4 linked regions of the Oreochromis niloticus genome follow. The protein of the gene in region 2 interacts with the protein of the main gene of each other region in a pairwise test. Links are inferred from orthologs where the notes say so. Each region holds a gene or a part of one and is shown on either strand. Other genes may lie near its edges. The genes, in order: bet1, stx4, vamp4 and stx6.

Region 1 (7,202 bases), on a different chromosome or scaffold from region 2:
TTTGATCAGTTACTCAGATGAGGAGATTTTGCCTTTTTAACAATACTGTATGTGGTCATAAAGACATCCTCATACGGTCAATCACACAGAATAATGAAGCCCCCCCCCCTTCCTTGTCTGTACACATGTGCAACAATGCAGAGTTTTGATTGAATGTAATTTGTTACTTTTGTAATTATTGTTTAGAATAAAGAAAAATAATGTTCTTTAATAAAAATGGATGTTTTATGTTTGAGATTTTCATGCTGAAGACATTTCAGCACATCCAACAGCATGAAGTTACACCAGCTAATCCAGGGCATAAAATTTGTTTATTTACATTAATATTTTTACAATAAAGATGAAACAATGACGTACACTACTGTCGCACGTGTGGTCGTCATATGACAATAGGAATGTGTCCTTTCACCCTTAAAAGCGCATACACTAGATTATGCAGATCATTCTATAACTTGTTCAATTTGAACTCAGCTGATTGCTGAGAGTTACAGTTCTCGACACTGCTGTATCGTCTACAGTCATAAATCATGCTCTTCTCAATCCAGGTTAACTGGTCAGATATTAAGTATAAACACCGTAAATACTGATATTGTCTGCTTCGTTTATGCATACAGTATGCACTACATTTCCTGTGATTATTGATTTTCTCAGACATTGTCCTAAACCACTTTTACTTTTTAGTACTCCATCAAACAGCATCAGTACACCTTTCTAAACTTCTTCTCGAGTCATTGTTTGAAAGCCTGACACTGTGGCACATAAAAGTGTAATGACTTTAAAAAAAAAAAAAAAAACATCCCTGCCTTTTCTCTTTATCTTGGTCTGGTTCAGATGTGTCATTGTAGCACAAACTGGAAGAGAAGAACCGAAGAGCAAAGTCCAATAAGATCCTCCTATCACCTCAAACTGATAAACCAGTACAGGACAAAGAAGACGAAAAAGCAGAAGAGCAGCATGTAGCACAGCAGTTTGGTCTGACTGCCCCGGGACAGCTTCTTGACTCTGCCGATGGTGGCACCAAGCAGGCCGCCTGTGGAGTCAAAGTCTGTGTCCTAAAGTGAGAAGTGGAGAGGAAAAGTGGTAAATGGTAAATAGACTGATTCTTATATAGAGCTTTTCTACTCTGCTGGAGTACTCAAAGCACTAAATACAATATGCTACATTCACCCATTCACACAAGCACTTTCTTCTATGATTTCAACTGCTTACTAACCAACATTCACACACATTCATAATCTTATGGATGGGTCAGAGTGATGCATTAACTAATATCTTGTCCAAGAATATTTGGCATGCTGACCAGGGGGAGCCAGGGGTCAAACCACCAGCCTTCTGATTAGTAGATGACCTGCTCCACCTCCTGAGCTACAGCCACCCTGATTACATGATTACAAAAGTCCAGCAGAGAACAATATTCAAGTGGTGGGAGACATTTCTGGAGTCTGAATCATTTACTCAAATTCTTTAGTTTTGAGGGGTTTCTCAGTGACTTTGACCAATATAAGTCAAACCACAACATAAAACAACACACAAAGCAGGCAAAAATAGCTCCCTGCCAACCTCAGACAACACTAAATGTTGTTTTTTTGTTTTTGCTGTAGCAGCAAGTGGTCCAGCGTACTCCAAAGTAAAACTCACCATATCCTCCAGCATTTTATTCTGGTATTTGACTTCTGTGCCAATGTCAATGGAGAGCTGTAAAAATCAATTCATTATGATTACGTGACTTGTAAAAGATAGTAATTGAAGAAATTAGTGTACATTTTGAGTACATACGGAAAAGGTCGACTCATTTATATGAAACTCTTTGCTGCAATATTCACTGACTGTTAAAAATAACAACAAAAAGCTCGTAATCAGCAGTTACTTACACTTTTCAAAGCGTTGACTTTAGCCCTGAGACCCTCCTGTAGGTGTTCATTTTCTTCCTCGTATACACTATATCCACTAGCTACATAGTTCCCCGAGCCTCCTTCACCTGTATTAAAATACACTAAGCGTTAATAAAGTGTTCATGAACAACAGAGTACTCAGAGTGCAAAACAACAAACATTTGATAACATAAGCTAGCTTTAGTTAGCTAGTTAGCAACAAATGCTACGTATGGGAAAAGAGAAGCTTTGGTTTAATTGTTTGTTTCTTACCCAGTCCGGCGCGCCTCATTTTGACCCGACCGAAGCTAACACTGTCCAATGGTTTATATTAAAAGACTAAATAAGAATGAAGTTCGACTTCTGATTGATCCGGTAACTGTATCACGTCTGCTCACAACACAAACGCCACGACACCATACGGCGGCCGACGAGGACAAATGGAGAAAAACGCGTAAAAAGGAAAACCGTATGTAAGCTTGTTTCAAAAGTTATTAAATCAGTTTCAAAAGGAAAAATGTAAATTGCTCATTATGTAATAGATTAAATTTTAAGTAAAAAAATAATTAGCCATCAAAAATTAGACAAAGATACATATTTTATAAGTGTATTTTTGATTAGATGTTGTTTGCTATGCCTTGCGCAACCCCGTTACTGTCATACTGAATATCCATTCAGTTTCAATACATTACAATAATACAATTAATTTAGATTAATTTAAGCAACTTTTAAAATTTACCTTAACTTTTCAAGGTGTGACAAATAAATACTCAGGAAAAATGACATGTTGTTTAATAATATTTATATGTTGGTAATGTTTTTTTCTATAAATTTCTTTTATGTACAGTGTTGCAAATCACTGTTAGTTGGCAGTGGAGTGTAATGGAATATAAATGTAGTAAATGTAGTGTAATTGTTAGAGTGACACGCTCAATCTAATAAGAAAACATTGGAAAAATACTAAATATGTCATGGAGGTCTGACCTTTATACTATACATGGTGTTAGTAATCGCCTAAATCATGTCACTTATATTTTTAAAATAATGTTTTTATTGTCAAGTCATTCCCTGTTTTGTCTTTTTATTTTCCACACTGAATAGGTTTCAGTAACAAGGTTGCACATATGTTATAGAATGAAAGGCCCACACAAAAATAATCTGATGTTAGTTTGTCTGTGTACCCTGCAGTGTGTCCACAGTGGGGTTGTCAAACTTATTTTATGTCATGGGCCATACCATACAGCCCAGTTTGATCTCAGGTGGGCCAGACCAGTAAAACCTCTGCATAAAACAACACCCATCTGAACTGTTTCCATTCTTTAGCTGTCAAGAAGTACTTAAGAAAGCATAAGCCTGAGAGAAAGACGCCACTTACTCAATTCCCTTTGATATTTTCCAGATGACAGAAGGTATTGTTTTGGGGGTTTTTTTTGTTAAATTATTCTTTTCATTTAACGGATGAACAATTTGAGAAATCTTCATTAAAAAATAATTGTGATTTCAAAAAAACATGTTATTTTTTCCTGTTCTCATTCCATATACAAGATTGCTTTGAAGAGCACAAAACTTTAACATGTGGACTTTCTTTACTCATGTGTAGTAAAGCTGACAAAATAAAATGAAAAGCAGTGTATTTTATTTGAAATTTTAATTATTTCACTGCAATTTTCACACTGTCCAAAGACATCCAGTGGTACAAATTGGAGCCTTTGGAAGGCTAGTACTGCCGCCCGAGTCACATATTTGACACGGTGCTCTAAAGCATATAGTCAAGTGTGTATCCCTGCAGGGAAATTTTCAAAAGCTACACCTTGAAATTTGACAAACCCACTAACAAAGGGAAACTTTTATCACAAGTAAGCATATCCACATCAGGCTTTAGTCTGTGTGCCTCAAGCCCGTAGTGAGGTGACAGTATTTAAAGAGTTATAGTCATATATCGAAAGAAGCCAAAGTAACTTGGCTCTTTCTTTTTTTTAATGCGATATAAAGCTGATGTTGCCCCTGTATTGCAGAAAAAAAACCTGTAGGGATTTTGGATAACTGTCCACCAGTCTCTGACTTCAGATCGCTGGAATTTTTGACCTCTCTTCCAAGCAGAATTCCTTCTCTTACTTCTCACGACTGAAAGCAGTCAGATGCACAAACATCCCACAAAATTTCACTGGGATCTAAATCTTGGCTTTGACCACTATAAGCCATTCCATCACTCTCCATTTGTCCTTTTTTTCAACCATTTCATGGTGGATTTGCTACAGTGCTTAGGATTATGATGCTGATAAAAGGTCCACTTCCTCTTCACCTTAAACTTTCAGACAGATAGGCTCAAACTATCTGAAAGCTCTTTCATGTGAAACAGAATCAAAGTGGCTGCAATCTACACATTACCCACAACAAAGTAACCCCAAATTCCACCAACATGCTTCACAAACATCTTCCCTGGAAAAGCTGTTTTTGGTCCGTGCCCAACAGATCCTCTGTTATTGTAACCACAAAAGTATATCTTTTATGTCTAGACAACATTATTGTAAGCAGTCTTAGCCTGTATGTTCAATAGCAAGCTTAATATTATTTTCAGACAATAAAAGCATTTTTTCTGGTGCAGCTACCATCCAATTTGTGCAGTCTCTTTCCGAAACTTAGACACCAACAGCAGCAGCAGTGACCTGCAGATGCTGTGACCATATCTGAGAGTGCTTGAAAACTTCTCTTTGCATGAAAGGGGTTAAATCTGCTCTCAGGCTACAGAGAAGCAGAAACGTCACTTTCCCCTACAGCGACTCATTCATTTCAAATAATTTTTAGATCCCTGAATGCCAGACCCCTACCATTTTTTTTTCCTGACAACTTTAGAGATTTCTTCAGATCTTTCCACACTGACATCAAAAGACTTTATTAACAGAGTCACAGGCTCTGAATGTCAGAGGTTCTAATCTGAGCGCCTGATTCTCATGTAATGGGTCTGAAGCTGTGATAAATGTAGGGTGTTTTATGTGACTGATTTTTTTCCTTTACATTATGAATATGAATCTGTGTCAGTTTCTCCTGTCTCTTGTTTTAGTATTCCTCCTTCAGGGAGGAAGGACGTATAAAGCACATTTAAAAAAACAACTCACATTGATCAAAGTGTTATAAAAAAAAAGGTAGAATGGGAAAAAATACCAAAAAAATCCACCAAGGAAATAGAAAATAAATAAATAAATGTGTGTTAGTGGGTGCTAAACATATACAGTCGTATCCAAAAAAGGCACAGGAAACACAAAGAGCAATCAGATGGACTCAAATGAGTGATTAGTTTTAAGTCTAGTTTTAAAGGACTCACTGGACCCTGTGGACATAGAACTGTTGATGATGGAGAGGCTGCTTGGACCAACAAGTACACAGTGTCTTGTGGGCAGGTTGTGGATTTCATGGAGGAAAGAAACCTAGCAAGGGAGGATAGTGTAGTGGGTTGAGGCAGGTCATAGGTTAACTGGTTATTAGAAATTCAGGACAGGTGTGAGTATGAGTGCGAATGGTTGTTTTTACCTGTGTTAGTCCTACAAAGACTTCCAGCCTGTACAGGGGGTACCCCGCCTTTTGCTCTATGATAGCTGAGGTGGGCTCCAGCCCTCCATGAAACCGAAATGGTATAATTAGAGGACGGATGGATGATTAGATGTCATTCGGGCTATCACAGCAAACATTTAAGTGGCTGCTGAACTTCTCGTGCTGGCTAGTTTAAAAGAATCTCATAATATTTCAGATTTTTTTTTAAAATTAAAAATATTCTACAGGGACTCATATTGTGTCGAAACTCCTCTAGCTTTAATGAAATTTAATGTTGTTTGAATCTTTTCTTGCGTGTTCATCTGTATGTGCTCTGGATCTCTTCTCGTAACACAAAAACAACAGTCATCATTCATGCTTTTGGTTGCCAAAATTGTTATGAGGCTCCTTTTAGACACAGACAGATGTTTTACTTTGAAGAGTTTTTAAGGCAATCACCATAAAATGGAAAGAAATCTTCTTTGTGGGCTGAATAACACGGGCTTACTGACACATCCATCTGCGCTGCATGGGACAGAAAAGAGTTTCTCAATATTTGCAAAATCCTAGAGGTGCTGTTTAGCAGTGATGAGCTTTTCTTATCCCCTCATACATCATCGCTCACCTAGCTCTGTGCCAATATCGCAGGAGACAGCTAATATGATATAAGAGATTAGAATGACTTTCGTGACGTTAATTTATTCCAATCCAATATCTTATAAATAAATAAAACTTTAAGCTCCCCTCTGCCATAATGCATTTCAATGCCCCAGCAGTCATCTTTTTATGTTTCAGCCAACGGCTTTGCTGTATGCATGACCTTGACATGAGTCAAAGAAAGGGAGGATATTGATTGAACTGTGTGCACCAGTCTCAGCTGCCTTTGTGTATCTGAGAGGATTGGATTTATTAAAAAGGTCTTTAGAGTGGAGAAAGGCTTCTGGATGTCTAGAAACTGGCATTCATCTTCAGTGAATTGCGTGGATGCAGAACAGCCCGGCTGCATTGATCAGCATGCACGGTCCCTGAGCCGTTCTTTGCACAGTCTTTGCACAGATGTCTTTTCATCCTCTTGAGATATCTAACAGTTTTCAAATGGTGCTTGAAATCTCCACAACAGATTTGAACGTGCCGTGGTAAACAGTACTGCAGTGAGGACGTTTATAGTTTACAATTTAACAGACTCTAAGATTCTTAAGAACTTATTATATAGTATCTGTAATAATTAGAAAAAATTGTTAACATTTTATAGAAAGTAGTATTTTTGTGAGTACAGTGGGTACTGTTTTCTAGTCTGAATACTGCATACAAAGTCATTACTTATGGTGAAGATAAATACACTGCTCGATAACACAGGTACAAATGGCCAAAGTGGCATATCTCATACTTAAAGTGTGGAAAAAATGCTTTTTCTGGTGTATTGTGTGGGAACTATCCAGGTGCTGGTACTTTCAAGAATACCGCTGATGCTAAATGCTACAGCTAGATGTTTTCTTTGTGATAAGAACAATTAGTGTAGTGGTTAAATGTTAGCTTGATTAATTTCTGACCTCTAATTATTTCTAATAAATTCCCTGTTTTACAAAAAAAAGAAAAAGCAGTTAAAAGAATTTAATATTAAAGCGCAGTAATATAAGCAGGACAGGTTCCTGCTTAAAACTCAAAGCTACTGAGACCTGATCACTGCGACTGACTTCTCAGATCATCTGATCAAGCTCTCTGTATTGTTCTGTGCTCTTACTTTAAAACCAGAGGTGATCACACATTTGAGGCTGTAGCGCTCGGTTTAGAACTGCTGTCCTC
Region 2 (7,116 bases):
CCTTCGGTAGCGCCTCGCCCAGCACAGTTTTCTGTTTGTTCTCGAGGTCAGACACCATCCTTTTGAGTTGCTGGAGCCCCTCGTGAATTTCTTGGACCTGACGATGACAGGGAAAGAATTTTAGGTTTCTTAGGGAACAAAAGAACTATTTTGTTAGCTCAATTTAACTCATATATCAAGCAAACATCATCCTATTCCCTCTGTCGGTCCTTATAGCTAAATGGGTGCAGCTGCCTCTGCTTACTATGAAGGAATGCCAACATAGGTAAGCTTTCTTTGCGTTAGCTGGCTCAATAACACCTAAAGTCCCCCATCAGAGACAATAATGGGTATCACACAGGCTTTCTGCTTCAGGCTCTGACTGCACTCACAAAACAAAGCAATACTGGTGCAGCAAATAATTCAGAGAAGCAGTGCTACAGAAAATTGTTTGTTTTGTGAATTCATGAATTAATATACCATCACATGAAAAAAAGTCCACTTCACGATTCAGCAGCTTGTAGAAAAACCTTTAGCACCCATAACTTGAGGTAATCATTTTCTTGTTTGGAAGCAATTCAACACTGTTTCAGGTCATTGAGGTTAGCAGACATTTGCTTATGCACAGCTCTATTAAAGTCATACCAGTCCTGTAAAGTAATGCATGAATAAATCTGCAGCGTAACCAGATCCCCTCTTAACCCTACGCCGTAACCTGACGTGCACCTCTCAAGAAATATAACTACATGCTGGGTCGATGCAGCCCACAACACGTGGAAGGTTATGGCGTAGGGTTAAGAGGAGGTTCCAGTTATGTCACAAGTTATGACGTAGTTTTCCCACGCATTTGATTAGCAGCACCTGGCTGCTACTTACCCTCTTATTTTCTGCCGAAGCAATAAAGGTTTTTGACGCGACGGCTGCAAGTTAAAGCTGTGAAATTTTAAACTTGATTCATCATAATATTCAGTGAATTCAGGACTAACAATGGACCATGGCTCGATGACAAAGGTGTGGAAACCACTTCAGTCTGTGGCCAAATCAAAGTCAACATTTTAAGACGCCAGCTACAAATTTTGACTTATGGATGGAAAAAGAAAAAAGTTCTTCAGTGAGCGAGCTTCCATGATTGCACCCTGTTTACACTGCTGCTCAGCTTTCCTCAGCATGAAAAACATAACCATACGTACAACATATTCTCAATCAGTGAAAACACGGCATTTCCAGACGATTTTTAACCAAAACACTGAACATAACCTTCTGCAGACCAGGTCATGTGTTCAGTCCAAGTTACTATAGTGATCCAGCCAAGTAAAAAGCCACCTTCATGACAGTTGAAACTGACTTCAGGCTCAGTATGGCTCACTAACCAATTAATCTGCCTTATAACTAGACTATTCATGTTAGTTGAACAACTGCTGATTTTTTTTTTTTTTTAAATAAAACACTTGCATACAGCACCGTTAACCCACTTATTTACGCAGTACAGTTTAAACTGCTCTGACTCCACATCTATTTAACCTGACACTGGATGTCCAGCCTCTGTGGCTCCCTGCCCTTACGTCCTTGTGTCCTCTCCCCAGATAACCTTGGTCCTTATCCTCCAGCTTCTCTCCTCCTGTTGGTGAATGGTGTCACTAACATAAACGTCTTTCTAAAAATTTATAGTGGCAAGAAGGTCAAGTGGATCAGGCTCAGAGGTCTCCTACTTTCCATGTTTTTGCTTTGGACCAAAAAAACCCAAAAAACAATTTCTATCCACGGGCCATCAGGCTGAATCACTGATGAACTGTCGAACATTAATTATTCATAATTGTACATTTGCAATTTTGTAGATTTATATTAACCTGTAAACTGTGTTTTGCTTGTAAACTTTTTGAATCTTGAAATATGAGAATATCTAAGGCATTCCTGAAATATTAGTCACACTTTTTGGACCTTTAAAATACTTTCTAGGGGGAGTTTTCCATACCAAGAATAAGACTCCAAGGACAAAAGGGTGAATATGCATAAAATGAGCAGTTTCTTCAAACCATTTTAAATCAAAACCAAAAAATATTCAAACATATTATTACAGAGGCCTAAGATCAGCGCAGAGAATAGTCACATTTTGTGATATTAGGTGACTAACTCTGGTTCCTTACTCATGACAGTTCGGGTACAAGGAGACTGGGATTTAGCAGACTATGATTTGTTGACAAAACAGGCTAAGAAGCATCAGCAGCAGTCTGTGATATTTAAGCCTCTGCAGTGCATTTTTGTCTCTCTTTTACACAAATGTGATATTCAGAAATGTGCGCAAACTACCACAGTGAATGAGGACAGTGCAGATCATTTGATTTTGGGGGATTTTCCAGGGAGAAGTGCGTGATTTTTCTGCCTTACCTTTTTGAAAAAGGCATCATTTTCCTTCTCTGAGCCTCCAGATTTGCTCATCAGCGCTTTGCCCTCCTCATCGTCATCCGAAGCCTCTGCGGTCTGAAGTCACATTGATTTTAAATAACATAAACAGAAGAAAAACAGTGAGTGCTTTCTCGCTGTCCGAGGATGTGAATCATGAGCCCTGCAGCCCTGCCCTGTCCCGGCCTGCCCTATCCTTTAAGGAGAAAGGACTGAAACGGAAGTTGGAAGTGAAACGTCAATAAAGTCAACTTTTATAAAGAGAAATATCTGCAAAAAAAATCCCACTTTAACCACTTTTTTGATTCCCTCTGCTGGTCTAAGTTGTCCCTGGAGACTCTTTGGTTAACTCGGGTAAAGTAGTGAACTGGGCTAACTTAGCCACGCTAGCAAGCTAGGGCTAATGTTAGCAGTTTACTTTGAAACTCACATTTCCTAATTCTTTGGTCCGGTCCCTCATTTTTCCAAAAGCGAAGGGAAGAAATCAAAAGTAAAAAAACGCTGCACTGAAATAAAGCGAGCCGCTCCCAAAGCGTAATATCCGCAAACTTCACGCCGCCGCTGTCATTCAACTAGTAAACTCCAGCGGCAGCGCCTCTTCTTCTGCGGCCCACTCAACACTCAACTCATCGACTCACTGGCGCCCCCTGTCATAGCAGGAGGAACTGCTGAAAGACTCCAAACGTAGGCTTCCTTTCTTCCCAAATACTCACTACGTAGAATAATCTAGGCATATAAAGATAAATATGTGCGAATATTTATATAGATCAATAAACATATATTGTCCAGATATAGTAGGGATATAAGGGTCGTGACTTTAGGATATTAAGATTAAGGAGGCACAGAAAAAGAAAGAAGAGAATAGATAATTTAGTGGACAAGTGAAGGAAAAGAGGAAAAAATAAACAGGAAAAGCAAACAAAGACGAACAACAATATTTTGGTCATGGGTGTTGTAATGTAATAACATGCAATTGTAGACTTTACAGAAAACAGACCTCAGAACTTATTACAAATTTTAAAATTAAGCCAGTTTTATAGGGCCAGTAATATTGCTCACTTACTCTTGTACTTGCAGATGCTGTTGATATGTCGACATAAGATCTAATGTTATGTTCACTCACTTGTTCTGTACCACCTAGGCACCAAAAGTTACATGTAGGTCATATTGTGGCAGCATTATAAACAGCGTGACTAAATTAAATTTAGAAACACTGATTTGTTCCAATCGGCCTGTAACTACTGTTTAATAGTTTCTACTGACTGGAGAACAGCCGTTGCCTGAGGAATCAAAATCTTTTCCTATAAAAAAAATAGATGAAAAAAGACATTACACACAGAGGCAGAAACAATTCAGTCCATAGTTTGCTTGTTTAAATGCCTAAAAAATTCAGATTTTGCTATAAGTGATGAATTTACAGGTGCAGTCCAAGCAAGTTGAAAGTAAAACCGTCTAAAATCTGCTGTCTCCTGCGTTGGCATGAAAAGTGCAGCCTCTGAATCTGAAGAGTGCTTTCATTCAGATCCAAATTATGTGAAGGTAACTGCACTAGAACAAGAAAATCCTGCTTTACAAATCCTGAAAGACGTTTGAAACTGATCCCTGCTGAAAGTCGGGAGTTACAACATTTTAGTTTAGGTCACAACTCTAATATCTGCTGAAAATCAAGAACTGAAATCTTGGAACAGCCTGCTAGAGCACCAAAATTGGAGTCTGCTGCAGCTCCATGACCACAGTAGACAGTGACCCTCCAAGAGTCTGCAGTGGTGCTTAAACTACCTGCTGGAAACATCTACACAGCCTATGGCACCAACACTGAAGCCCACTGTCTGCAGAAACACCACACGTTCTCCAAACTACTCCACCTCTTCACCCTGAGCTGAGTGACATCACAGTGAAAGAACCACAGGCTGCTTTAGAGCCTGTAAACACGAGCAGTGAATGTTATGTTTCTGAGAACTTCGAATTCAGTCAGACATTGGGCAATGAGGCAGAACAGATAACGGCCCTAGAGGAAAAGCATGCTGCCTTAGTCTTGGAGATAGAGCAGTTGAAAAGGACTGCGTAAAACTCAAAGAGATAAGGCAGAAAAAGCAAGGGTATTTCTTTAAGTAGAAGTTTACAAGAAAGGGGAAGTTGCACACAAATGTTTCCCAAAAAATTGGATCAACTAAAAACAGCTCTCAGCATTTAAAGAGAAAAGAAAAAGAATACTGAGAAATTCTCAGCACTAAGAGGAAACTAACAAACTCCAGGCAGAACTGGCCCAATGTTATGGAAAAATTCTAGTTTATCCTTACATGTAGATTTAGCTGGTTAGAACTTCACTGTATGATTTTGTATAACCTTTGAATGCTCAGATGAAGTATGTGTATGTGTCAGCATGACCTTGTGAAAACTGCTTAGCTTTGCTTAACGATGTTTCACTATGTTATCTGCTAACTGTTTTGCTCAGAAGGATGAAACTCAGGGCCAGCGCCAGGAGCTTCCTGGGAAAAGATAGTGGGAGTTGTCCCCTGTCCAGCCACAGCCCGTGGGACAGAAACCTATTGTAACTAAAAGATACACAGAGTTGTGTGTGGGGGGTATAAAAGAGAAGCTGAGACATCCCAAGGGGAAGAGCTGGCATGACTGTGAACTGTGATGCTAAATGTGTGTTGGCTCTCCTGCGCGCAGTAATAAATAGCTTGATCACAGCTCTTTCCGTGTTGCAGGCTTTACTTACAAAATTCTACAACACCCAACACCAAAGAAACCTTCAAGAACAAAGATCCCTGTGGGAGGAGGACAGGCTCATAGCTGTGCACTGATCAGGACGAGGGCGGCATCTGTAGGAACCTTGAAGCAGAAAGTGAGAGACTGACTCATGATTTGATGAACAGAGTAATGAAGTTTCAGTAATCAAAAAATAATCAGGAAGAAATTCTGCTGGATTTTTAAAAGAACACAAATGATTGCCTTAACTTGACCTCCGCCCCAACAATGAAACTTGTTTATGTTAAGTCAAATTGTAGAGCACTGCTTTCACATTAATTTATCATAAAATCTTAAAACAACTCATAAAATTAAACATTGCTATATCAATAAACCAACTGCGATCATGCAGATGCATTGTTAAGATATGGTTGTTAAACTGAATGAGTTAAATAATCTGCAGCAGCTGGTTCTTTGAGCTGCAGGACTGCTGGTTGTCCACAGGGTGGCACAATCTCCTAACCTAAACACAAATGTTACAGGAAAGCTTTAGTCCAGTGTCTCAAGCTCACCTTTATATATTATTGTCTATTGGAACAATGCAAACATGGAGAAGGACTGAAAATATGGAATTGGTGGAATGTTACTATGCCAGCTGACACAATAAAAAAGGTTATGTGCAGCACATGTGGGATCAGTAGAAAACCAACATCCACAATGAGCTAGAAGGACCTGGCAGCTCAGTGCAATAACATCAGCAGAAGATGGTTACTGTTGAAGCTGGAGATCCAGAGGTTACAGCACACTGGGAACAATGGTGAGCAGTATGGACATAAGGATGAAAGAGACCGGAGGTGGTTGCCAGGACCAAAGTTGCAGGGGGTCCAAAGGTTCCCTCTAGACTATTGGACAGCATACACCAGGGTGGGCAACTCCAGGTCTCAAGGGTTGGTGTCCTGCAGGTTTTAGATGTGTCCTTGATCCAACACATTTGATTTAAATGTCTAAATTACCTCCTCAACATGTCTTGAAGTTCTCCAGAGGCCTGGAAATGAACTAATCATTTGATTCAGGTGTGTTGACGCAGGGTGAGATCTAAAACCTGCAGGACACTGACCCTTGAGGCCTGAAGTTGCCCACCCCTGGCGTACACAGACAGACCCAAACGAGTGACTGGGATAGAACATCTGTGCTGCTTATGTACCGTTAGGAGACACCACCATCAGTGGTTGAGAAGAACTGGGCTAAGGTACTGTAGGACCCTCTGGGAGTTTGAAGGTTCTGCACAGCATCTGAGGTATATGTAAGACTGCACTCTTCTGAATACCTCTGATATGGTGCCTGAAATCTGCTGGAGCTGCTCTCCCAGTTTTGGGGTTACAACTCCTAATGCTCCGATTACTGGGAGCACTGGGACCACTTTGTACTTTACCTTCCTTCTACTCCAGATGTTCCTTCAGCCCTTGGTACAACGTTGTTGTCAAGCTTGTGCTGGATAGTGTATTGACGACATTAACGACTTTGGAACAGTAGTGTCAGCGTTCGAATCTAAGTCAGACATACATCAGCTGCTACCCAAGGAAACGTTCATTAATTTAAAAAAATATAATGATAACTCTATCTTTCTTAAAAATGGCGAGAACAATAGCCACAATGATCAATATTCATTAGAAATAAATGTATCTTTGGCAAATCCAGGAAAACTATAGATGCTTGTCATGGATGTTTGGACATCCTCTGTCAGCATGTTTCAGTCTCGCTGTCTTGCAACTCAGTACGTCCTGGTAAAAGGGCTAAAGTTGCACTCTGGAAAGCTCTCCTGTCTCGATCCTTATTACCTTAAATATAAAAGAAATCAATATACTGCAGCTTTAGATGCAAAAATTAGATTCAGTTCAATTCAGTTCAGAAAAGAAATAAGTGGCTCAGATATTACACCTTAGAATGAACCCAATTTAGCATTGTATGTCTTTAAGGGCGTCCTATTATACTCATTCCTGTCTGCTCTGCTAAAGTAGCTCCGCATGATTAACAGATCTTATT
Region 3 (7,873 bases), on a different chromosome or scaffold from region 2:
ATGTAGTTAATGACATTGATAATCGGTAAAAGTGACAGTTTCATAAATAAAAGTGCAAACACAGGACCACCCTGTTTCTCTAGACCTCTAACTCTAATTTGGGATTTGAAGTAGAAGGTTGCAAAAAAAAAAAGAACATGGGAGCTGTTTTTTTTTCTCTTCAAGGACACTTTACCAGTTTTTCCCAGAATATGAAGTCTGCCTGCCAGGCTTCAGGTTACTAGAGGTAAAAGACAAAACAATTACTGTGAGTGCTGAAGCATTAATCGAAGCCGAAATGCCTGTGTGACTGTTGGATCATTTGAAAGGTATCATTAGGGCATGATACCTAAATTTCAATACACTATCCAAGCCCACTAACAGGAACGATATTCATGTTTTTAATATGATACAGTTTTTGGCTGATAATGTGTTATGTGGTCCCTGGGACATATTTATGTAGATTTCTATGTAAGTGTCTTCATCCTCATATTTAGAAATCTGACAATATATTTCATTCACTCCACTTTACTTACTTTAGTACTACTTGCAGCTCATTTTTCTTGCCTTTTTTTTTTTTGTACTAAAGAGTGTCTGCAGCACTTTAAAAAAATCTGTTTCCAAGAAAAAGAGGTCTACTCTTGGTACCATCCAAACTATAGAGTTTCTGAATTTTCTTAAACGCAACTTTAGGTTTAAAGTTTTTGGAAACCGTTTAAAAAAAACTGTAATACAGATACTGATTTCTGGAATAGGAAAAATAGTTGTTTTTTTTAAATTTGTGACTATATTTCAGTTTCCTCTACCATGGCAGAAACAGACAATGGTTCTTTTGTTTGAAACTCTCACTCATGTGTATACGACAAGCATTACAAGTGAAAAACCTGGAGACTATAGAACGTGCCCAGGAGCCAGTCAGTAATAGGCGTTTTTCCAGGCACTGAAAGTCCATGGTAGCTGGAAAAGCGTCTCCTGACACGACCTGCAAATCGAATACCTTTCCCCAAAGCCCTCATGGGGAAACACAGGATGTTTTCATTCTTTATTACAAACAGAACCAACACAATGCTTATCCAAGGAAACTTGCTGTTCTAATAAGAGAGTATGCTTTGGTTAATGAAGGAATGTGCTGCTCAAGGATCCTGCGAGGAAAGGACGCCTGACTTTACGAGATTCTTAATCAGTCGTGGTTGTGCCAGAGGAGGAGGATGGCTTGATGTGGCACTGGGGAGACAGACTTTACTTCATTTTTATTTGTTATGCACGACTTACCTGAATTCTCCTGCTGTGATGAGTTTTATTTAACAGCAGATTTAAGTTAAAAATATTTTTTTGTTCCTACAATAACACGTGTACCTGGAAAAGGCTTTGATTATACACCACATGACTTACAATGCTGACATCTAAAAAAATCTGACTCCAGAAGGACATTTAATAGAGGCCATTTTCCACTCTATAAATTTGGTTTCACCAAACTCACTCTTGAATGAAGTGTCCTCAAGGGATTTTAGGGTTCAGACTAATGAATTAATCCACCATGAGGCCACTGGTGTGCACGATGGAAACAGTTGACCTAATACATATTCCTGCTGGGACTGGTCCTCTCCGTTTTCACTGTTTATGACGAAACCATGAAGCTCTCTGTGGAGGCACAGAGGGCTCCATGAATATTTCCTGTATTTAACTTCTCCAGAGGGATGTTGGGATCTAATTTCAGCCATAATCTTCTGACTTGTACACTGACTTTTGGCTACTACTTTTATCACCACTGTACTGTAAAAACAGCCAGTATAAAGAGCATATCAGAATCTGGGTGTTACAAACTTAAAATCAAGTAGTCCTAAGGGGAAGATTGTGATTTATACATAATAATAAGGTATTTCTCTTCGTTAGTCATTTCTAATTTACTTGTGTTTTGTCTGAAACAGGTCTCTCTTGTAAATGAGACACTGAGTCTCAATAGGACTACCTGTATAAATAAAGTTTAAATAAATTAAAATAAATAAGTCTCCATAAAACATGCTTAAGTACAACGGCAGTGTTTTGGAGTAAAATACAGAGAGAATGAGACAAGTAATTCCAGATATGCATAATAAAGTCATTAATTTTTTCAACAGTTAATAGTTTTGTTTCAGTCCTTAAATTAAAGTTGATTTTGAAACGTTATCACCTTGTAAACATTTCAAGACCCAATTGTACCTTTACGTAGAAAGGAAATATCTTCAAATGAATGATAATTTGCTCATATTAATCCAATATGTGAGATTTAATACAGACTATAGTGGCATGGTATACACCAATCATTTGAACTTTAAATAAAACTAAACAACAGTGGGAGCCTTCTTGTCATATTTGGTTTGCAGTTTTTAAATAGAACAAAGCATAACAGGGACTCCTGTGTTTCAGGGAAGAAGCATGACTGCTGCTCTCTGAAAACTTTATTTGCATGAAAACATACACCTGACTATATCTCAGCCCTAAAAAGCATTGACGCCATGCACAAAATGTTCTTAAAATATGTAATTAACTACTGAACTGATTGAGAGATTTAAAAAAGTTTAACTATGAGGTTATTCTACAAAGCATTTTCCCCCACATAGCGCTTTTTAAAAGATAGCAACCGCATTATGTACGGGGGAAAGGTGGCTTTAAATAAAGGGTCTATTCCACTGGGGAGATGTGTTGTATGACATTTGATGCAAACGGAATAAGCTCAGAATTTAAAAAATATAGTCTATAACCAGTCTGCTTTTTAAAAATGTTGTTAATGTCCCACAGGGAGAGAGACCGAGAGACACCATATCATAAAAGTGGACTTGCTCTACCCGAAGAGCCCAGGGTTATGCAGAGTCAGAGTCTGTACGAGGCGCTGGAAGTCCTTCACCATCCAGGGCTGTTGGTGTGTCCCCACTGCACAGGCACTGCTGCTCTCAGGGCTGATACTCTGCGGGTCATTAAATGTGATGAGGACATCTGTGGAGAACTGCGGCAGACGGAACAGGCCCAAGTGGATGGTCACTGAATTCCTTGCTTCTTCATTGAACTTAGAGACGGACTGAGTCCCAGTCAGCATCCACGCAGTGCTGCACTCTGACAGGGACAGCTCAGATTTGGGCAGAGTCACAACACTAGTCACTTCAAAAGCCCCCGGCTCCAGAGCTTTGTTGCTTCCCGCGATGTCCTCAAAGTGGTACCTGGCTGCATCCTGGTCTGCCACCTGACCCTGGTACTCCACCAACTCGACGATCAGGCTCTGGTCTGTGTGGGCGTGGGCAAACACCTCCTGGTTGTCCGGGATTTCTCTCAACTCGCTGATATCTGTGGCGCTGTGAGGGATCACAGCTGACAGGGCTCCTCCAAACAGAGGATGAGCCTCGTTAGCTGCTGCACTCTGCATTTCTCTGTGAAGCCTGTAAACAGAAAGAAACACCACAGGTGAGACCGTCTCCACCCACATAAACACCACCTACTTAACAAAAATTGTAAAGGAAAAAACAGAAGCTTTGGTGAAGTTGCTGAACACATCTGCAGCTCACCAGCTCACCTCCCACTGCACGGTCAATGTGGTTCCGGTGAAAACTTAATCTTCTTCTTCTTGTTGCGTGTGTTTTTTTTTTTTTGCCATTATAACAAACACGCTGCTGCCACCTACAGGTGTGGCAGACCTCGACAGAAACGATTTCGCAGAATAAACTTAAAAATTATAAATCTAAAGTTTCTGATTTAGTTTTCAAGCTCATAACATACATAGCAAAAAAAGAAAACAAAGAAAAGAAATATATAAGTAGGTTTAATTCGAACATTTAAATGCTGAATGTCCAAATGACGTACATGGACGTTCAACAAAACAAAGTTCCCAATATATTATTCATCTACATAAAAGTAACACAAATTTTGTGCTCAAAAAGGACAAGTATAAACTTATATGATCCCACTCCTGCTTTCTGTTTCATAGCAAGATTCACCTTTCTTTCAAATGACCTGGAAATGACACAATGACACAAATGACAAATGACAAATATAAACAAAAGACTCCCTTAACGAGGTAAAAAGCTGGATAAATCTAACATTAAACCAAAAATTAAAAAAACAAGAATAAAAGACAATAATTTCATGTAATATCTTTAAAGATGTTAAATACATCCATTAATTTTTTTTTTTGTTGCAAACCATGAATTGATTAGGTTCATTAATAATCAACACCCATTGTACCTTTAAAAAGATGTTGGATACATTAATTATGTTTGGTCTCATTTGGATTTGTGGGAAAGAAACGATTCAGTCTTTTCCTTTATGAGTAAAAATAACGTATTCTTTGTTCGAAAATGTTAAGTTGTCAGTGTTATCAGCTCAACATTTTTAAGCAACCCAAATGTTATAAAGAAGAAAGCATGTAATGTACAGAAAGAGCGGAAGAATCTGTCTATTTATAGATCAGCTAAAACTTATTTTACCGTATTTATTAGAAAAAACTAGTGGTAATATCCTTGGTACAATTCTCTGTCTCAGCACTGGCGATTGTTTGTAATAAATAGTGTAAAGGCACCATAAATACATTGGTAAAATTAATTGTTTCTTTGAAGAGACCAGATTTTTCTTCTTTCTAAACATATATTACTTTGAACTTCTTGTATAGATAAGGTGGAAGAAGACATTTTAATAAACAATGAAATCCTCATAAACACTGTAAAAACACGCACTCCTGTGACAAAAGTCAAAGCAGTCTACTTATTACACTGAAAATTGGTTTATCATTATTATTATTGTTATTATTATATTTTATATATTTCTGTGTAGAAGTGGAATATTTACTGCATAAAAGAACGTAAGGTAAAACATTTTCCGCAGGCCGTAAAACATCTGCAGCAATTTCTCCTCCTCCTCCTCCAGCTGTTTGTGTTGATTTCCTGGTCAGCTGATTCAGACCGAGCAAAGATAGGAAGAGGAGAGCTGGCATCCACAATGATCATCGTGTTTCATGGTCATTGATAGCATTTGAGATGAATCAAACAGATCCGTAAAGTCGCATTAAGCCTTCGTGTTAATTTCTGAGTTTCTGTGTGGAGGAGTTTACCGGCTTCGAGCGGCGGATCCTGTGGAAAACAGCAGGTAGCCGCGTTAGCATCCTTAGCTTAGCTTAGCTTGGTAGCTAAGCGGCCTGTCTGATACGGGTAAAATAATAAAGAAGAGTGTAACTAAGCTGTAGTAGCTTTTAAATTGTTTTTCGTATTGTGGAGTTGAAACTTCATTGTTAATTAGGTTGACAGGAATATTATTTTCTAAGATTTAGGCTGTCAAACAGCTCGACCTGCTAAAGTTGTTGACGGCTGTGATATAATGTTAATTAGCTTATGAGATTGTGAGCTTGTGTGTTCAGTTTTACTCCTTTGCTAAACTGAGGGATCCTTAAAGCTATTACTTTACTTGTAATAGAAAAAAGGGGGGAAATCGGCCGCAGATAGCCAAGCTTTACTCATTTGGTATTCCTCTCTTGATAGAAATTGATTGTGGGATTGATTTTTCATTCTTCTTCTGTTTGCTTAAAGTTGCAATCAATGAATTGATTAGGGTAATTAATAATCAACAGCCAACATTAAGCAATTTCCACAGGTCTTTTGTTCCAGTGTGAAACCAAGCCTTTCCTTTATGTAATAAATCACTGCTTTTCTTTCTGTTTTTCAGTTTTTTACCTTTAAAATTGACTCTTGAAATAGACGTCTTCCTGCTTTCCTGCCTGAGCCTTAACATGTTACGTAGATGTAACTCTGGCTTCTTTCTCTTCACACTATTCCTGCTTCAGATCTGTCCCCTGCCTCTCTTCTCTGTTTACTGGAAAGCTCTTCTCCTCTTCTGACCGCTGAAAGGCCCAGTTTTCCAGCTGCAGTGCCAGAAAAGGAATCTGAGAAAGCCACTGTGTCAGAACTAGCTGGATTCAATGGTATAAGTTGTATTGTTGGTTTAACAGAGACTCTGTGTGTGTGTGTTTGTGATTATATTACCACTGAGGGCCACATGTTGTTTAGTTCAGTGTCACAGAGGCCCTTTAATGAAGCATCTGTGTGTGTTTTGTCTTGCTCTTTGGAGCATGAAACACCCAAACACAGACTCCAGGGTGCATAATTGGAAGAACAGCATGTTTTCCATTTCCGTGTTACATGGAGAGCAATGATGACATTTCCTTTCATATCTAGTGAGACTCAACACCTGCTCCACCAGAAGGATTTGGATTTAAAACAGCTTCATAAGATATCTGTTTTTGGACTGTTTTAAAAAATATTATGTTTCTTGTATATGAGAAGCTGGAAACTCAATATCTGATCCAACATCACATCCAATTACTTTGGGGACTGGAAAAATCAGTTATCTTGAGCTACACTCTTGAGATTCCTAAACCTGATACAGTAAAGAGGCTATGTAAAGTAAAATAGCTCAGATGAATAAAATAGAATACAGATGTCTTACATTAAAGTGGCTCAATATATCCAGAACAATAAGAGTGTAGTGAACAGTGAAATAAAGTAGCTAAACAAATAGAGTTGTATTGCTGGGCCGTGAATTCACATTTAGTCATTTATAATGTTTAGATTCTCAGTATGTTTGTAAACTCTGCATGTGGTTATGTCTGTAACTCCTTTCCTCTTACCAATACTGGAATCTTCTCAATTCAGGTATCTAACTCTGTTTTAAGTTCTCCCACAGTGTGGTAAAGCTTCATTGATGACTTTTCTTCTCCTGCCCTACAGAGGGAGCCAGACCGGGAGGAGCAGCCTGAAGACAACATGCCACCGAAGTTTAAACGACACCTCAACGACGATGAGGTCACGGGATCGATTCGCAGCGAGAGGGTGAGACACAAATAGACATGGAGGAGCTGGTGTTTGGCGTTTGGGTTTGTAACAAATTGCATGCGCAGTTAGAGAAGCAAAGTAGGACATGTAGTATATTTTCTAAACCACTTATACCATTCATGGTTGGAGAGAGATGGAGCCTGTTCCTTCAGATGTTGGGCAAGAGGGTACTGGACATGCTGGACTTCTATCTCATAGGGTAACACATTACTTTTACTGTGGATTGACTGTGGATCCCATCCTGAGCGAGGAAAAAGCCCTGTATCAGATGTAGAAAGTTTATTTGTCAGATTAGTCATAATGGAAAAGCAACAAAAATAAGGGGAGCGAACCAAAACAACTTTTTTTTTAAGGGGTGAAGCTTTAGAAACTGCTATGGCCAAATGTCTGGTCCTCATCAGGTTGATCATCCCGTCCCACGCACCTCAACCTCCCCTGTCCTCCTCCTTATTCTTTATTGTGTTCATTCCTCTCTTTCCTCTGTGTCATCCTGTTTGCTGTTGTGTTGAGCTGAGATCAAAGCAAAGCTTACCGGGAGGCTTGCATAACAAAATAACCTCCCATGCTTTTCCTTCAGTGCCCGGCCTCCTGTCTTACAATAATTGCTAACAGTTTCCTTCACGTCTGCTGTCTCGAATGGAAAGAAAGAAAGAAGTTTGTACAGAAGGAGATTGTTAGTGCCTTAACTTATAAAGTATTTTATGATCTTATGGCCACCATTCCCACAGATTTTTTGCAGATGCCATTTTATTTACAGGAGAATAAATTGTATTGGCCCGACATTGACTGGCAGAATTGACACTACAGTGCATCCATAGGTGTCGCAGTTATTAGAAGGTGAATGCCATGGCTGAAAGAATTGAGATTTTAACCTTCGTTACTGCTAAGGTAATGAAATTCAAATGTAATTGATCTTTCTCATAAAAATTTCACACTGTTGGGTTTTAATATCGATTACCTTTCTTGTGTAGTCTCTAGTAGCAGTGGATAAAGTCCACCTGCCTTCAGTCCAATAAGAAACAGACTCGTTCTCTTCTCCTGTGAGA
Region 4 (7,506 bases), on a different chromosome or scaffold from region 2:
TAATGACGAAAAATCACAACAACAGTTGCTTTATAGTGTTAGGTAAAGGCCCGAGAAAACTGAAAAAAACCCAACAATCAGACGACCTACGTGCATGCACTTGGCGACAGTAGAAAGGTGGAGGTTTCTTCCTTTTAACAGAAGGAAACCTCCAGCAGAACCATGCTCAGTGAGGGGTGGCCTTCTGAGAGACCAGTTGGGGATGTGGGGATGAAGACAGAACCAAGACATGCTGTGGAAGAGAGCCAGAGATTAATAATAACTAATGACTAAATCCAGGGAGGTGTATAAACACATAGTGAGTGAAGAAGAAAGTGCATCATGGGAATCCCCCAGCAGCCTACACCTATTGCAGCATAACAAAGGGAGGATTCAGGGTCACCTGATCCAGCCCTAACTATATGCTTTAGCAAAAAGAAAAGTTTGAAGCCTAATCCTAATCTTAAAAGTAGAAATAGTGTCTGTCTCCTAAATCCAAACTAGAAGCTGGTTCCATAGAAGAGGGACCTGTTCTAATAAATTCAACACGATCACTTACTCTGTCTTCACAATCAGTGATTGATTGGAGCCAATTTCAGTGTTTGTAAATATGTAATTAATGATTACTAATTGATTGATCTGCTCTCAGCATGGACGAGGAAACAGGTGTCAATCGGCAGCTTCAGATGCAGTGGGAGGGGAGGAGTCTGTTAACCTCCTCTTCTTCATTAAATTGTCATCAAACTGACTCTAACCATTTATGAACCAATCAAACTGTTCCATCTCACCTTGTGCGCCAGGTCTATGTGAGGATTTACAAACAAAACTGTCTTCACTGTCCAGAGTTTTGAGGTGATACACATCTCCTCTTCTTCTTCATTCTTTCTTTTTTCCACAGCTGAACGAATCAGCCAATCTCAGATGCTCTAATCATAAAACTGTATTTACCTTTCCAGTACATCTTTATATACACCTGTGCGTGTTTCTGCTGGCTTCACATTTGAAGGATATTGATTGTCTCGTCAAGGTCCTCTAGGTCCCACTCGATGGAGCGCAGGCTGTTCCTCAGCTCATTGGTCGTCCAGTCTATCTCCTCCTTGGAGGCTCCGCCTCCCTCCGCCATCAGTTCGCTCCATCTATGATGGAGGCTCTGAGCAGCGTTGACTGCTTTCTGCACCTCGCTAAAAAACAAACAAACAAACAAAAAACCAAACAGGTGAAGCGGAGCTTCAGAGGAACCTTAATAGCACAAACCAGAAACAGAACCAGGTCTATCTGCTGCAGGGAGTTTTCATGTGACGTAAGGTAACTGGAAAACTAAATAAACACAAAACTGGAGGGCCAACTTTATTGATCGTTTACTGATCAGTGTTGAAATGTCCAGCAACAATTTCAGTCAAATCTGCACAGCCACCTGGTTGTTCTTCTACAGAGCCAAGGAATCAAGATGTTTTTAAAATCACATGGCTCACTATCTGTACTCTGCCATGTCCCCCTTTCTCCACACAAAATATGAAAAAGAAGAAAACATGTGAAGGAACTGATTTGTCAAAACAAAATGTGTCTAAATCTGAACAAATTCAGGTGAGAAAATATTGATAAGTAATAGATCAATCACAACATGACACATTCATACAAACAGTTTTGTGAATAAGACCCACACTTTATTATAGTTGTAATCATTAGAAAAGCTACTTATAGAAAGGAACCTATTAGGTGAAGTAATGTTACACCTGTTAACAGGTTAATTAATCACTGATCAATAAAATCAAACATCTCAACTGTAACGTTCAAACAGGCTGAAATCAGAAGCGATATAAGCACAAGCTGTGGTCCTGTGTGTGAATCAGGAGAAGATACGGGTGTTCCCTCATGTGACAAGTGATTAAGGTGCTAGAGAGGGCAGCCTCAGCCCACCTGAGATCAGAGGTGAAAACGTCTTAAGCCTCTGAAGTTTGGACAGTGTATTATACAATCATCATGAGGGTCACTTTCATTTAACACGATGCAGCTGCTGCTGTGTGGTGGTTTATACGTTTGAGGAGACACAGTTCACTTTGGGATTCAATGGGAACATCATGAGAGAACACACACCCCACCCCTCACAGATCACTGAGGAGAAACATCATAAAAGTTGGAGACACCAACAGACTGTAGAAAGTGATCAGGAGAGGGTTCTGTGATTGGCTGCAGACACTATAAAGCTGTGATGGAAACGAAGCCAGTGCACAAACTGTTCTCCACCACGGATCATCCTGACCTCCCTCTGCACCACCTGCTGCACAAACTGCTTCACCTCCACAACATACAGGAGGTCTGTGACTCTCTGATAAACACACACCTATCTGGAAATGTCATCATTACTATTAATAACAATATTATTATTATTATTCACCCACTCATTCATTCATTCTCTGCCGCCTATCCAAATCTAATTATTATATTATTTTAATTGTTGCTGTTTCAGTTTCATTCCACCTGCTCCAAACAGAAGCTGGTAAATTTGATCTAAATAGAGTCTCTCACTCTTTGTCATCATCATCATCATCATCATCATCATCGTGGTACACACACGGTCTAAAACACCTCCTAAAACTTTAATCTGATAAAAAAAAAACACACACAAAGCTAACAGGCTAACATGCTAATAAACTAAGTGTGAAGACACATTTATGCTAACGTTAGCACGTTAGCTGCCGTGAATCTGCTCCGGCACGCACGTTGGTCTCGCTATTGACGGAAACAGATCGATGATCAGATCGATTATCGATCAGCTATCACCTGTCCGCAGGCTAATGTTAGCTGCTAGCTCTGTGTTAGCGGCGCAGTTCTGACCCTTTGACGACGAAGAACGGGTCTTCCATGGACATCCCGCCGGCTCTGCTCACTCCATCACCCACTTTCTCGTAACCGAATCCGCGGATTCTGATTTCCGCCGGTCCGTCCTCACGAAGCCGCTAACGGAGCCGCTAACGGGCTTTGTTTACACGTAGCACCGGAAACAGCTCCGCGATGACACACTTTTTCTTCTTCTCCGACTCTTATTACAGTTTCCAAACACGAAAACAGCGCCACCAGCAGTTGCGGGGAAATAACATTTAATTGAAATATTATACAGTGGTCCCTCGCTATATCGCGGTTCACCTTTCGCGGACTCGCTTTTTCGCGGATTTTTTTTTTTGTGTGCAATTTTGCATGAATTTTTTATTTTTTTATTTTTTTACAGTGCATTGTGTTCTGCGTCCTAACTGGCTGTAGATCATTGTCAATCAATCTCGTGCCGTGGTCCTGTACAGTACAGAATGCGTTCAGCTTGTCAAATTTACATAAATCTTCGATCGCTAGCAGTGTGACTCTGAAGTGCAGTATTGTATGTTTGTTTTCTCCCCAACAAACACAACACTGTCGATGAAACGTTTTGCACCGTCAAAGGCAACTGCGGGTGCCTTTGGTTTCATTCTATAATACTGGACTTATTTTTCTACCAAGGTTTCAACTTTGAGGGTGTTTAAGACGGGCAATGTTCTGCAGACGATGAAAACAACTTTGGACAGGACAGCCAACATGCTTTTCCAAGTTGAACACCTGATCAAAGGTAACACCCAGATTTCTCAAAGTGGAGGAAACTGAACATGAGAGTGGTCCAAGATTTTTAGTTGCTATGGGAACAAAGTTGTCAGGTGCACAGATCAGAACTTCATGTGTTTTTTATTAATTCAAAGACAGATATTTTGCTGTCATCCAGTTCTTTATAACATAATTACGGTCTTTAAGGAGAGAAAAGAATATTCATCCATGTCTCTACACATTAAAATATAATTTGATACTCTACAAAGTATGGTGGATATTGGAGTGCATCTAGCAAAACTCAGACTGAAATTAAGCAGTTCAAACCTCTGTTAGCTGGTTGGCCACCACTTTTTCAGAATAAAAGGGAATTTTGAAATTGGCCTACAATTCTCAAGTGGCGGGGTTAGCATTGGGCTTTTTTAAAGGAGGGTAAATAATAACCTGTTTGAAATATGTAGCAACAAAGCAATTATTCATTACCTTAAGAACACATGGTGTGAAAGGTGTGAAAGACCTTTTTGAATAGTGAGGTTCGTAAAATGTCAAGTTGGCAAGAGGGTGGTTTCATTTTACGAGCCACTTCAGAGAGATTGCTTATTTTGTCTAAGAGTAGTGGACGGTTAAGGCATGGGCCCAGAGAGGAAGGAGGAGGGGTAATATTTGGTCTGATATTATGGGTCTTATAGAGACAGAAAGCAAGAAAGTTTTTACACTCTATTAAATCTGCTGGCACATCAGAAATTACTTACTGGAGACAGCTCGGTCTGCCATAAACACCCAGTGAGGGAACCATAACATATCCCGATGACTCAAGGAAATGACAAGTTTTCCCACCAATTCCTTGTTTCCAAAGCTGCCTCAGTCACCTGAAATCCAGGCCTTACCCCCCAACTCGGTCTGCGTCTGCAAGAAGTTCGATGACACTGAGGCTGTGATTCACCAAGGCACTGAAAAGAAACACTGTCTTCCAAGGAAGACAGGATAGAAGACATGCTGTGGAAGAGAGACAGAGATTAATAACAAGTACGATTCAATGCAGAGAGGTCTATTAACCCATAGTGAGTGAGAATGGTGACTGAAAAGGAAAAACTCAATGCATCATGGGAGTCCCCCAGCAGCCTATGCCTATTGCAGCATAACTAAGGGAGGATTCAGGGTCACCTAATTTTTATAGACATGCTCATCATTTCTGCCATCACTGCATACAAACTCTGCTTTAATGTTTCTAATACAATCTAACATCAGCTTCACTCAGGTGACAGCTCTCTGAGCTCCTATTAAAAGTCAGAGGTCACAGTACTGACAGTGTTTATCCTGGTGCTCTCAGCATTCTGCAGATAGATTTCTTCAGAGTGCCTCGTCATCTGCTCTCAGACCACCTGAAGCGATACTCAACAAAACAGGAGTTATCCATAAAAGAACGACAGTTTCGCATTCAGTACCCTGCTGTGCAATGTGAGCTCAGCATAGCCAGGGTTTGTTTGCATTATCTGGATTTACTTATCCCAACATCAGCACTTAGGATCTGCAGTCACAGGAAGCCATTGCTGACAACCCAGAGTGTCCCAGTGTTCATACAAAAGGGGCAAGACTGGCATGATCTGACCAATCACAGTTACTGGCTCACTTCCACAGCATGTCTTTGTCCTGGCTTCATCTATTGACCCCCATCTGGTTGCGGCAGATGGCCACCCCTCATTCAATTTATGTTGTCTTCATTCAAATTCAGTTGTTTTCATTCAAATTCCGTTGTTTTCATTCAAATTCAGCTGTTTTCATTCAAATTCTTTTATTTGGATTCAAAGTCTGTTGTTTTCATTGAACTTCTATTGTTTTCACTCAAATTCTGTTGTTTTTCATCCACATTTTGTTGTTTTCTTTCAAATTTCATTTTTCATTCAAATTCTGTTTTTTTTAATTCAAATTCTGTTGTTTTCATTCAACTTCCGTTGTCTTCATTCAGATTCTGTTGTTTGTTTTCAAATTTGAATTTGAATGAAAACAACAGAATTAGAATGAAAGGAACAGAATTAAGATGAAAACAATGGAATTTGAATGAAGAGAACAGAAAGAGAACAGAATTTGAAAAACAAACAACAGAAGTAGAATGAAAACAACGGAATTTGAATGAAAACAACTGAATTTTAAAGGAAAGAACAGAAGTAGAATGAAAACAACAGAGTTTGAAAACAACAACACAATAGAATTTCAAAACAAACAATAGAACTTTAATAAAAGGGGAAAATTAGAAAACAATGCACTGTGAAGTAGTCAGACTCGAACGTCAAGGAAGGTGGTAGGGAAGCAGACTAGGCAGACATTTCAGATTTCCAAGGTGAGCAATTTATTTACAGTGAACTTAATTTAATGTAACTTAACAAAACTTCCCCCGAAATAAACTCTATTAACAAAACTCAACATAACATGGATCTGGTAGCTCAGCTCAGCTCAGCTCAGCTCCTGCATCTGGTAGAGACTGGCTTTAAATAGGGCCATCAATTTCCCTCCAATTGCCCAGCCAGTACCACTCACTCAAACTGAGGGATCTAAAACTCTACACAGATGATTTAAAAACACAAAACCTCTTCACACTTCTAATATACACATTTACACAACTAAATGGCAGTATTAACAAAAAGAAAAACATTCAACAAATTCCTTTAAACCTTAACACAAACAAAAGGAAGCATCACTATGGAAAAAGAAACCCCTCCACTTGGTTTGACCTGCTGATGTCATGTTTGACATCATCAGGATTTTAAAATGAGGAAATGCCAGGCGGGCGTTTCCCCACACCTGACCCTCATGAAGACTGAAAAGACAAACAAAGTAAGTATGAACAAATGACTTAATCTGTAACATAATAAAATATAAAGAAACATAACTAAGTATTTGTCTTAATTTGCAGAATGTTTGATTTGCTGACAACAGAACGCTTACACAAACAAACCCGGGATAGTGAGTGAAGCAATACTTGACAAATAGCAAAGCATAGCAAATACATAGAAACAGAATAATGTGTACAATGTGCAAAAAAAGGTAAACACATATGGGACAAGTGAGAGCATTGCAACTGCTCCTCCACTTTGTCACATGCACTTTGACTGAAAACAACAGAATTTTAAAGGAAAGAACAGAATTTGAACGAAAACAACAGAATTTGAACGAAAAGAAAAAGAAAACAAAAATTTCAAATCAAAAGAACGGAATTTGAATTAAATGAACGGTATTTGAATGAAAACAACAGAATTTGAAGGAAAAGAACAGAATTTGAATAAAAACAACGGAATTAGAATGACAACAATAGAAGTAGAATGAAAACAACGGAATTTGAATGAAAACAATGGAGTTAGAATGACAATAATAGAAGTAGAATCAAAAGAACGGAATTTGAATGAAAATAACGGTATTTGAATGAAAACAACAGAATTTGAAAGAAAACAACGGAATTTGAAGGAAAACAACAGAATTTGAAAGAAAAGAACAGAATTGGAATGAAAACAACGGAATTTGAATGAAAGGAAAAGAAGTAGAATGAAAACAACAGAATTTGAATGAAAACAACGGAGTTAGAATGAAAACAAGAGAATTAGAATGAAAACAACACAATTTGAATGAAAACAACACAATTTGAATGAAAACAACAGAATTTGAATGAAAACAACGGAATTAGAATGAAAACAACAGAATTTCAATGAAAAGAACACAATTTGAATGAAAACAATGGAATTTGATTGAAAACAACGGAATTTGAATGAAAGGAACAGAAGTAGAATGAAAACAACGGAATTTAACTGAAAATGACAGATTTTGAATGAAAACAACGGAGTTAGAATGAAAACAACACAATTTGAATGAAAACAATGGAATTAGAATGAAAACAACGGTATTTGAATGAAAACAACAGAATTTGAAAGAAAACAACGGAATTTGAAGGAAAACAACAGGATTTGAAAG

Evidence for each region.
Region 1: the proteins of stx4 (region 2) and bet1 interact in binary tests that used the Homo sapiens proteins (3 or more experiments, as listed by UniProt). The two-hybrid records come from large-scale screens. The link is inferred for Oreochromis niloticus from reciprocal best matches to the Homo sapiens genes STX4 and BET1.
Region 3: the proteins of stx4 (region 2) and vamp4 interact in binary tests that used the Homo sapiens proteins (3 or more experiments, as listed by UniProt). The two-hybrid records come from large-scale screens. The link is inferred for Oreochromis niloticus from reciprocal best matches to the Homo sapiens genes STX4 and VAMP4.
Region 4: the proteins of stx4 (region 2) and stx6 interact in binary tests that used the Homo sapiens proteins (3 or more experiments, as listed by UniProt). The two-hybrid records come from large-scale screens. The link is inferred for Oreochromis niloticus from reciprocal best matches to the Homo sapiens genes STX4 and STX6.

What each region holds. Positions count from the first base shown.
Region 1 is NC_031985.2:24,358,175-24,365,376, forward strand, and holds bet1 (BET1 homolog), read right to left. Parts: upstream 2,352-7,202; 5' UTR 2,164-2,351; coding exon 2,145-2,163; intron 1,979-2,144; coding exon 1,872-1,978; intron 1,696-1,871; coding exon 1,639-1,695; intron 1,053-1,638; coding exon 897-1,052; 3' UTR 507-896; downstream 1-506. UniProt on the Homo sapiens protein: Required for vesicular transport from the ER to the Golgi complex. Functions as a SNARE involved in the docking process of ER-derived vesicles with the cis-Golgi membrane.
Region 2 is NC_031973.2:5,168,802-5,175,917, reverse strand, and holds the start of stx4 (syntaxin-4), read right to left. Parts: upstream 3,023-7,116; 5' UTR 2,840-3,022; coding exon 2,810-2,839; intron 2,458-2,809; coding exon 2,365-2,457; intron 98-2,364; coding exon 1-97. UniProt on the Homo sapiens protein: Plasma membrane t-SNARE that mediates docking of transport vesicles. Necessary for the translocation of SLC2A4 from intracellular vesicles to the plasma membrane.
Region 3 is NC_031986.2:38,756,529-38,764,401, forward strand, and holds the start of vamp4 (vesicle-associated membrane protein 4), read left to right. Parts: upstream 1-4,870; 5' UTR 4,871-5,088; intron 5,089-5,779; 5' UTR 5,780-5,914; coding exon 5,915-5,917; intron 5,918-6,722; coding exon 6,723-6,824; intron 6,825-7,873. Other genes in the region: rangrf (ran guanine nucleotide release factor), read right to left, coding at 2,801-3,376. UniProt on the Homo sapiens protein: Involved in the pathway that functions to remove an inhibitor (probably synaptotagmin-4) of calcium-triggered exocytosis during the maturation of secretory granules.
Region 4 is NC_031986.2:36,180,028-36,187,533, forward strand, and holds the start of stx6 (syntaxin-6), read right to left. Parts: upstream 3,023-7,506; 5' UTR 2,850-3,022; coding exon 2,815-2,849; intron 1,161-2,814; coding exon 991-1,160; intron 1-990. UniProt on the Homo sapiens protein: SNARE promoting movement of transport vesicles to target membranes. Targets endosomes to the trans-Golgi network, and may therefore function in retrograde trafficking.